Linked DNA regions of Mus musculus. The protein of the gene in region 2 interacts with the protein of the main gene of each other region in a biochemical or structural test. Links are inferred from orthologs where the notes say so. Each region holds a gene or a part of one and is shown on either strand. Other genes may lie near its edges. The genes, in order: Dapk1 and Klhl20.

Evidence for each region.
Region 1: the proteins of Klhl20 (region 2) and Dapk1 are reported together in a solved structure, tested with the Homo sapiens proteins (2 studies listed by BioGRID and IntAct, with this or other methods). The link is inferred for Mus musculus from reciprocal best matches to the Homo sapiens genes KLHL20 and DAPK1.

Annotation. Positions count from the first base shown.
Region 1 is NC_000079.6:60,600,394-60,604,771, reverse strand, and holds the start of Dapk1 (death-associated protein kinase 1), read right to left. Parts: upstream 2,826-4,378; 5' UTR 2,662-2,825; intron 2,586-2,661; exon of another isoform or gene 2,513-2,585; intron 2,348-2,512; 5' UTR 2,238-2,347; coding exon 2,176-2,237; intron 1-2,175. UniProt on the Homo sapiens protein: Calcium/calmodulin-dependent serine/threonine kinase involved in multiple cellular signaling pathways that trigger cell survival, apoptosis, and autophagy.
Region 2 is NC_000067.6:161,093,446-161,097,258, reverse strand, and holds part of Klhl20 (kelch-like protein 20), read left to right. Parts: intron 1-1,521; coding exon 1,522-1,730; intron 1,731-3,471; coding exon 3,472-3,578; intron 3,579-3,813. UniProt on the Homo sapiens protein: Substrate-specific adapter of a BCR (BTB-CUL3-RBX1) E3 ubiquitin-protein ligase complex involved in interferon response and anterograde Golgi to endosome transport.

The DNA.
Region 1 (4,378 bases), on a different chromosome or scaffold from region 2:
TCAGATAAAGATATAGAACTCTCAAGCTCCTCCTGCACCATGCTTGCCTGAAGGCTGCCATGTTCCTGCCTTGATGATAATGGACTGAACCTCGGAACCTGTAAGGCAGCCCTAATTAAATGTTGTCATTTGTAAGAGTTGCCTTGGTCATGGTGTCTGTTCACAGCAGTAAAACCCTAACTAAGACAACCCCGCATTCAGGCCACATACCTGTCTCTTTCCATTTCTCTGCCTGTGAGCCCCTCCCTCCACTCCCAGTCTTCCAGAGACATATGACATCACTCGTGCCGCATCTTCTCTGCCCGTGCCCCTCCCATCAGAGCTTCTTTGGCAGAAGTGATGATGTCCAAGACAGGATAAAACCACAGGTTGTGGGACATCCTTAGAAAAAGCCAACCTTTACCTGCTTCACATTTTGGCAAAATCAAGAGCAGCTATCACAATAGCTGTGCATTTTCTTTCTTAAAAATCCCAACTCCCAGTTACTCCAGAACACCTCTTCAAGATTCCTAGGTCGCATGAATTATTAAACAAACAACTCATCAATTAGTCTTTCATGGAGAATAGTTAGACACAGAAGCATAGACAAGAGCCAAAATCAGAGAGAAACATTAGTGACAAATGAGCGAACCGCCATCCCTGTCATTACAAGCTCGAAGTGAAGATCAAAAATCCACTTGCTAACCACAGGGACGCCCCACCCCCTCCCCTTTCTCTTAATCCATGGAAGAAGGATTTTAAGGGAAACAAAGTCGATGAATTTCATTCATAAAGCAATCAGCTCACCTAATTTTTTTCCCATCCCTTTTCGCAAGATCATTTCTAGAATGTGTTAACCTCACAGAAATGGTATCAAACCCTTTTTTCCCCACCCTTTTTTATTTTCTAAACACCCCCCACCCCCTCCACACACACATATTCATCTTGCTATAAACCATAGAAGGAGAGTGGCTGAATTCCAGTTAAATCAAGTATTTCAACCGCACACTCAACCTCAGTCTTCTCCATACCCACGAAATGTGATCTTTCAGAACCCTGCCTTTTATTTACTTACTAAGATTTAAGATAATAGTATTGTCTTCCTCTGCACAGGCTCCACCGATGCCTCCAGGCTACACTGAACTTACACACATCCTGTACAGTAACTCTTTAGACCTCTCTCTTTCCTGGGCTGTCTGGATTATTACAAAGTTTTGGTTAGATATCTTTCAAAATCCTATTAGGTAATAGGTCTTCCCCCCCACCCCCACCCCCACCCCTTTTCAGTTCCCTGCCCATGAATTAAAAAAGAAGCTTGGTATGAGGCCATGGGGTATATATGGAAAAATACAAACTTCAATACACACTCTGTGTGAGTAATTGCAAGTACGTTTGTTTATAAGCCCGTTTGCCTGCTTCTGTCACAATGCCAATACACAAATTTCACAAGACAAATTTTAAATCTAGGTATGAACACTGGGCTCTCTGCGCACACAGCAGAGATCAATACACTCGGTGGGCTAATGGATACCCAGCACTCGTCAAGGGCTCCCAGTGAAATCTTCTTTGTGCACCTAGACACTGACACACTCTGCTCAGCATCGCACCCCCCACAGCGTGTTGGTACGCTCTGAATCTAGACAGCCGCCATAAATGACACCGAAGCCACCACTAACCAAGCCGGGAATTAAATTCCTGGTTGGAAGAAGTTTCAAAATCCAAGGCCAACATCTGGCAAGTTCCACGCCTGCCTACCAATCCTGGCTGGTGTTGCACTGAAAATTAGCACAAGGGGAGAGAATTGTTTAAGTGCCCATTAATTAACTTGTACGCCGCTTAAAACACACATGGGTGGTCCCTCCAGTTGCAGTTAGAATCTTTGCGTTTGCCTCATTGTCTCAAAAGGGTGAAGGCTGACAGGAGTTAGTAGTGCACACAATGAAGTCTGTTCTTATCCAGGGATTCTGACCATACCCTGTGCACAGTAACTGCACTGTGGGTTGCCTCTCCACCCCTCAGATCAGGCAGTTTATTCATGGTCCCTGGCTTTAGCTGGTTAGGCACCGGTTCCTCTGCTATCCGCCCATCTCAGAGAAGGGCCAGTCAGGGACATGCCCGGTTTAAGCAGCATCTGTTTATCGCGCAGTGCCCCCCACCACACACACACCGCGCGCTTCCGTCACCCCTTCCTGGTACCTGCCCAGTTCCTCGCCGGTGTCGTAGTAGTCGTCCACGTTTTCCTGCCTGAACACAGTCATGATAGACTGTCACGCCTCACCAAAGCCCAGGCCACTCCGGCTCCGCGGCCCGAACCATCCCCACCGCCGCCTCGCTGCTGCGAGCCCCTCATGCACCAAGCCGCAGACCTCTGAAAGACATGGGGAGAAGAATGAGACGGTAAACTCTAAAAAATCGGGGTCCCAGGGGCTGGGTCCCGATCTCGAGGCCTCCCGCGGGCAGGGGCCACGCGCCCTTTGTTAAGTCTAGGCTGGGGGACCCCCACACCCCGCATTGCCGCGCCCCAGCCCCGTGCCTGCGGTTCCCGGGCTCCTGCCTCCGCCTCCGGACAACGTGGGGACAGCTCGGGGAAGGGACACAAAGCGCCCTGCCCCGCCACCTGTTCCCCCGCCCGGCGCCCCGGCCGCCCTCCCGCTCCTCCCACTGCCTGCGGCGGCCACTCACCCGGTCCCGCAGCTGTCGCTTCGTGCGCCCTGAGCCCCGCGGCGGGTCCAGGTCCCCGGCAGCTCCGAGCGGCCTCCGCTCCTTGCGTCGGGCGCAGCTCGGCCCCGCGGGGACGCAGCCACCACCTCCTCCGCGCCCTCCTCCTCCGCTGCGCTCGCGGCTCCTCCCGGTCCGCGCTCCCGCCCCGCCGCGCGCACCCCGCACACACCCACTCGCCCGCACCGAGCGCGCGCCCCACCTGTGACTCGGCGCCCGGCTGCCCTCTGCCGCCCGCTTCGAAGAAGCCGGAGGCTTTCGTCCTCTCAGAGTGTGAACCCAAGGATCCGTGTGGGCCAGGCGACGTGCTCCGTGCCTGGAAAACCACAAAAAAAAAAAAAAAAAAAAAAAAAAAAATAGAGCAGAAATCAATAAAGTCCTGCCCCGGAGGCGCCCACACCCCGATGGAAACGATAGCAAACAAATAGCTTATAAATGAGGTCGCTCTGTTCTTCTGTGTTGACAACAAAAACCGAGAGAGGACAGCAGGGGCCTCATCAGAGGGGGCGTCTCCCGCCGCTTGTTTTGAGCTGAGATGTCTGAGATCCAGGGAGAAAAAGGTTGAACTATCACAGGCTGTCAGTACTGTGGTTGCTCAACTGAAACACAGCGAGTCCAGCTTGAGCTGTATTAAGCTTTCAATACACACCAGACACTGTTTAAGACTGTGTTAAAAAAAAAAAAAAAAAAAAAAAAAGAACGAAAATCGCCGTATGTGTGTCTTTATATTAGCTACATGTCAAAATGATGGTGCTTTGGACCTATCGGGTTAAATAAAACTTTATTAAAATAGTTACACTCGCTTTGTTTTGTTTGCTTGTTTGTTTTACAGTCAGAACAGTAGCCATTTACCTTGCATTGGATTGCTGAGGACTGGCCAGTCTGCGCAGACACTCTGGGTCCACCCGTGAAACCATTATGTCTCTCTCCCCGTGCTCCTGACTTAATAAAGTTCCTAAAGGGGATTCTATCCTGCTGCCTAGAATCGCCAAGGTTCATCCGTGAACCTGCCAAGAGTTCATATCCACACCACTGCTCAAACTCTCCATTCAACAGATATTTTCAACCGTGGAGGCTTGGGCCTAAAAGAACAAAGAGAAGCAAAAGAATGTATCAGATCCTAATCTTAACTCCGTCTCCAGCTAGGAGTGGTAGCACACACCTGTAATTCCAGCACATGGGTGAAGAAAACAGGAAGATCAGGAGCTTAAGGCCAGCCTCAGCTGTAGGAAAAGTTGAAGGTGAGGCTGGAGTACGCATCTCCAAACAAACACAAACAGCAAAAAGGTATTCCTAACGGCCCAAGGAAAGAGTCCAGCGGGCACGATAGAAGAAGGAGATTAGAATGTGCCACTGGCCTAAGTGCTAAGATGGAGAGTCAATACAAGAAGATCTTGAGAATTGACAAATACAATAAAAATAACAACAGCAACCAAAAACAACAACAACCAAATAAATAGAAGGGTGATTTACTTGGGAAGCATGCAAATAAATACATCTGCCAAAAAAAAAGAAGAAGAAGAAAGAAAGAAAAACACGGCGTAACTTATTTTCCAAGGCCACTGAAAGGGCTGGATCTACTCAGGGGCATTAGGGCTGATCAGAAGACATTTTTCTGGTGTCACGAAGAAGTAGGATGGAATTGAGAATTATAAATTTTCATCTAATATTCATGAGCCCA
Region 2 (3,813 bases):
TTACAGCCATCTGCACCTGCACCCACAGGTGCCTTACAGCCATCTGCACCTGCACCCACAGGTGCCTTACAGCCATCTGCACCTGCACCCATAGGTGCCTTACAGCCATCTGCACCTGCAGCCCCAGGTGCCTTACAGCCATCTGCACCTGCAGCCCCAGGGTTCTGCTGAAGACACCAGGCATGCACATCGTGCATATACACACATGAGGGCAAAGAAGATAGATAAGTAAATAAGTAAACAAACAAATAGGGCCACAGTTTAAAAAACAAAGCAAAACTCTACTTTCTAAATAGAGTGAGTTCCCTACCTCCCATAATCACCACCTCTCCTCAGTAGAAAAAGAATTCTTTTAATATAAGAATAAGTAAAACCTTAGAGCTACAAGCTTCTTTGCCTTTTCTATCTAGACCAGTGGTTCTCAAACTTCCTAATGCAGCAATCCTTTAATACAATTCCTCATGTTGTGGTGACCCCCCAACCATAAAATTAATTACTACTTCATAACTGTTATGAATCGCAATGCAAATAACTGATGTGTGACACACACCCCCCCAAAGGAGTCATGATCCACAGGTTGAGAATCACTGGTCTAGACATAATAGCTATTTTTATCTAAGGATATTGTCAGTGGCACACCATGAGATTCATTGTTATGTATCTTCGGTGGCTCAGAAGACACTAGGCAAACAGCATGGGCGAGCACGCCACTAATCCCAGCACTTGGGAGACAAAGACAGAAGGATCGATCATGAGTTTGAGGCCGGGCTACATAGTGAGTTCTAGGCTAGCACCACAGAGCAAGACTCCATCTAAAAAAAAGAACAAAACATGAATAAATAATCAAATAAATTATATGAGAAAAATAAAAGTAAAAAACCTGTCTAACTATAACAATGAATTTTTAATACTAAACCATTCTTTTAAGTCATAATCAAGTTCCACCCTACTAGAAGATAAGGAAAGTGCATATAACTAGTTATGTAGCCACAACTAGAAGTTAACACATGCCAGTTCCTTAGAAGATGACTGTAAGAAACTGGCCCCCAATGTAGGAGCTAGAGAAAGTACCCAAGAGCTGCAGGGGTCTGCAACCCTATAGGTGGAACAACAATATGAACTAACCAGTACCCCCAGAGCTCATGTCTCTAGCTACATATGTATCAGAAGATGGCCTAGTCGGCCATCATTGGGAAGAAAGGCCCCTTGGTCTAGCAAACTTTATATGCCCCAGTACAGGGAAACACCAGGGCCAAGAAGTGGGAGTGGGTGGGGAGGGGAGCAGCGTGGGGGTAGGGTATAGGGGACTTTTGGGATAGCATTTGAAATGTAAGGGGGTAGGGTATAGGGGACTTTTGGGATAGCATTTGAAATGTAAATGAAGAAAATATCAAATTAAAAAAAAAAGAAACTGTTTCCTGATCAGATTATTTACTGAAAAGTAGGTGTCTTGGCCGTTGGAGTGGCTATGAAGAAGGAAGCAGGTTTGTTCTTACTTACTGATCTTTGTCTTCACTGCAGTGGAGCGCTACAATCCTCAGGAAAACAGATGGCACACCATAGCGCCTATGGGGACCCGAAGAAAACACCTAGGCTGTGCGGTGTACCAGGACATGATCTATGCAGTGGGAGGGAGAGACGACACTACAGAGCTTAGCAGTGCTGAGAGATACAACCCCAGAACTAACCAGTGGTCTCCCGTGGTGGCCATGACATCCCGCAGGAGTGGAGTAAGTGCCAGCTACTGGGAGCTTTGAGCTTTGCAGGCAAGCACTGAGAGGGGGTGTGTAAAAGGAATTCTCTAAGCTGTAAGCTGCACTAGGACACTGCGCGGTGAAGGGCTGCTGTCCATGTGCTGTATTTCCAGCGTCTCAGCTGTCAAGACGCTTTTAGGCAAAACAGAAAAAAACAAAACCCAAAAAGCTTGTATTTCTTTTGATTGCTTTTAGCTCCAGTAGCTAAATATTTTCTATTCATTCATATATGTAATTGTATACACTATTTTTTTTATTTACCTTTTACCAGCCACTTCGCTGGACAGTATCTTTCCTATATCATCCCCTATCTAACTTACGTAAAATAGCATTAACTATTCCTGTATGGTATTCCTAGCTAATTTTTTCAAGTAGACTTCGTATACTGATACAAACAGTAAAGCATACCTGGCCCTTCTACGCGTCTTCCAAAGGTGGTTTGAGAGTCTGCCCCATCTATAATGTAGGCCACATCTGGCTGACCTGTTGTCATGGTCTCAACCACAAATGAATGTCTGGTCACTAAAGAGATGTCCAAATGGAACATAAAATTCACCTTTGGGAATGTTTGTCTCAATGAACCCTAACCCATTAAGCATTGATTGTGGCAGGAGTCCATCAGTGTAGGACACATACTCAAAGGAAAGAGAAGCAGACTGCACCGAGAGACTCCCTCCCTAATCTAAGGATAAAAAGGAGCAAGTTCTGGTTTGCGTACATCAAGGCTCAAGGGGAAGAGTCGTGTGTTCTGTGTCTCTATTTATTCCTGGGAACTGACAGCTTTCAGATCTATCCCTGTGATTCCCACTGTCCACTTGATTCCATCTTCACTTACTTAGAAGGCAAATGTCTATAGAATTCTTGTTATGGTGAAGGAGACTGAAATGTTTACAGTGTCTACAGTAAGGATGTGCTGTGGAGTGCTGTATGTGACAGAAGGACGTGGGGGAATGGGCTTAATGCACATGAGTTACTCAGCCCTGCATACTGATTCGGAGACTAACAGTCCAGCATTCCAAAAGCACAGAGTTCATTAGGAGAGGGGGAAATGTAGGAGGCAAGGCCAAACGTGGTGGCCAGATTTCTAAAAGCTTGAGTAACATTACAGACCTAAAACCTGTCTTAGGCAGAATGGAGGCTTAGAAGTTTCTGAACAGGGGCTGGAGAGATGGCTCAGTGGGTAAGAGCACTGACTGCTCTTCCAAAGGTCATGAGTTCAAATCCCAGCAACCACATGGTGGCTCACAACCATCCTTAATAAGATCTGATGCCCTCTTCTGGTATGTCTGAAGACAGCTACAGTGTACTTAGATATAGTAATAAAATAAATCTTTAAAAAAAAAAGCAGTAATACAAAAAAAAAAGAAAGAAGTTTCTGAACAGGAGTGATATGTTTATGTTCATGTTTTTAATAATATTTTAGTAGCAATTTAGAAAGTGGATTAGAGTGGGCAAACCAGAAGTGAGAGCAGGTTGGAGGTTCTTGTTCGTGCCAAGTGAGTGGTTCTCTACACTTTACAGATGCATCTGACTCTGCTTAGGCGCATATGTTAATAAAAGGCCTAACCTGATGTTCCCATCGTTCATGGAGTACTGCTCCCTTTTCTCCCTGGCGTCATGCAAAGTGGAATCTAAGCGATCTGAGCGTCTCCCTAGAGACTGTGAATTCCCCGCGGCTTTCTCGGCTCTCAGCAGCCACTGTGCTTTGCTCCCACAGGTCGGCCTGGCCGTGGTCAATGGACAGCTTATGGCAGTGGGGGGCTTTGATGGCACAACATACTTGAAGACCATTGAAGTTTTTGACCCAGATGCCAATACGTGGAGGTAACCTTTAGACTTTTCAAGTCTTCTCATTTCTAACTTGAAGTCATGGGCTTGAGAAAGATCCTGACCACCAAAAGTGGGATAGCCAACTTACATCCTCACGTGGTTTCCTGAAGGAAACTGAAGTAACCCAGATATGATGATACATTTTAACTTGGTTATTCTAAAGTATCTGATAAAAATATTCCTAAGTTCTTCTAATAACCATCTTTTTTTTTGTTTTGGTTTTTGGTTT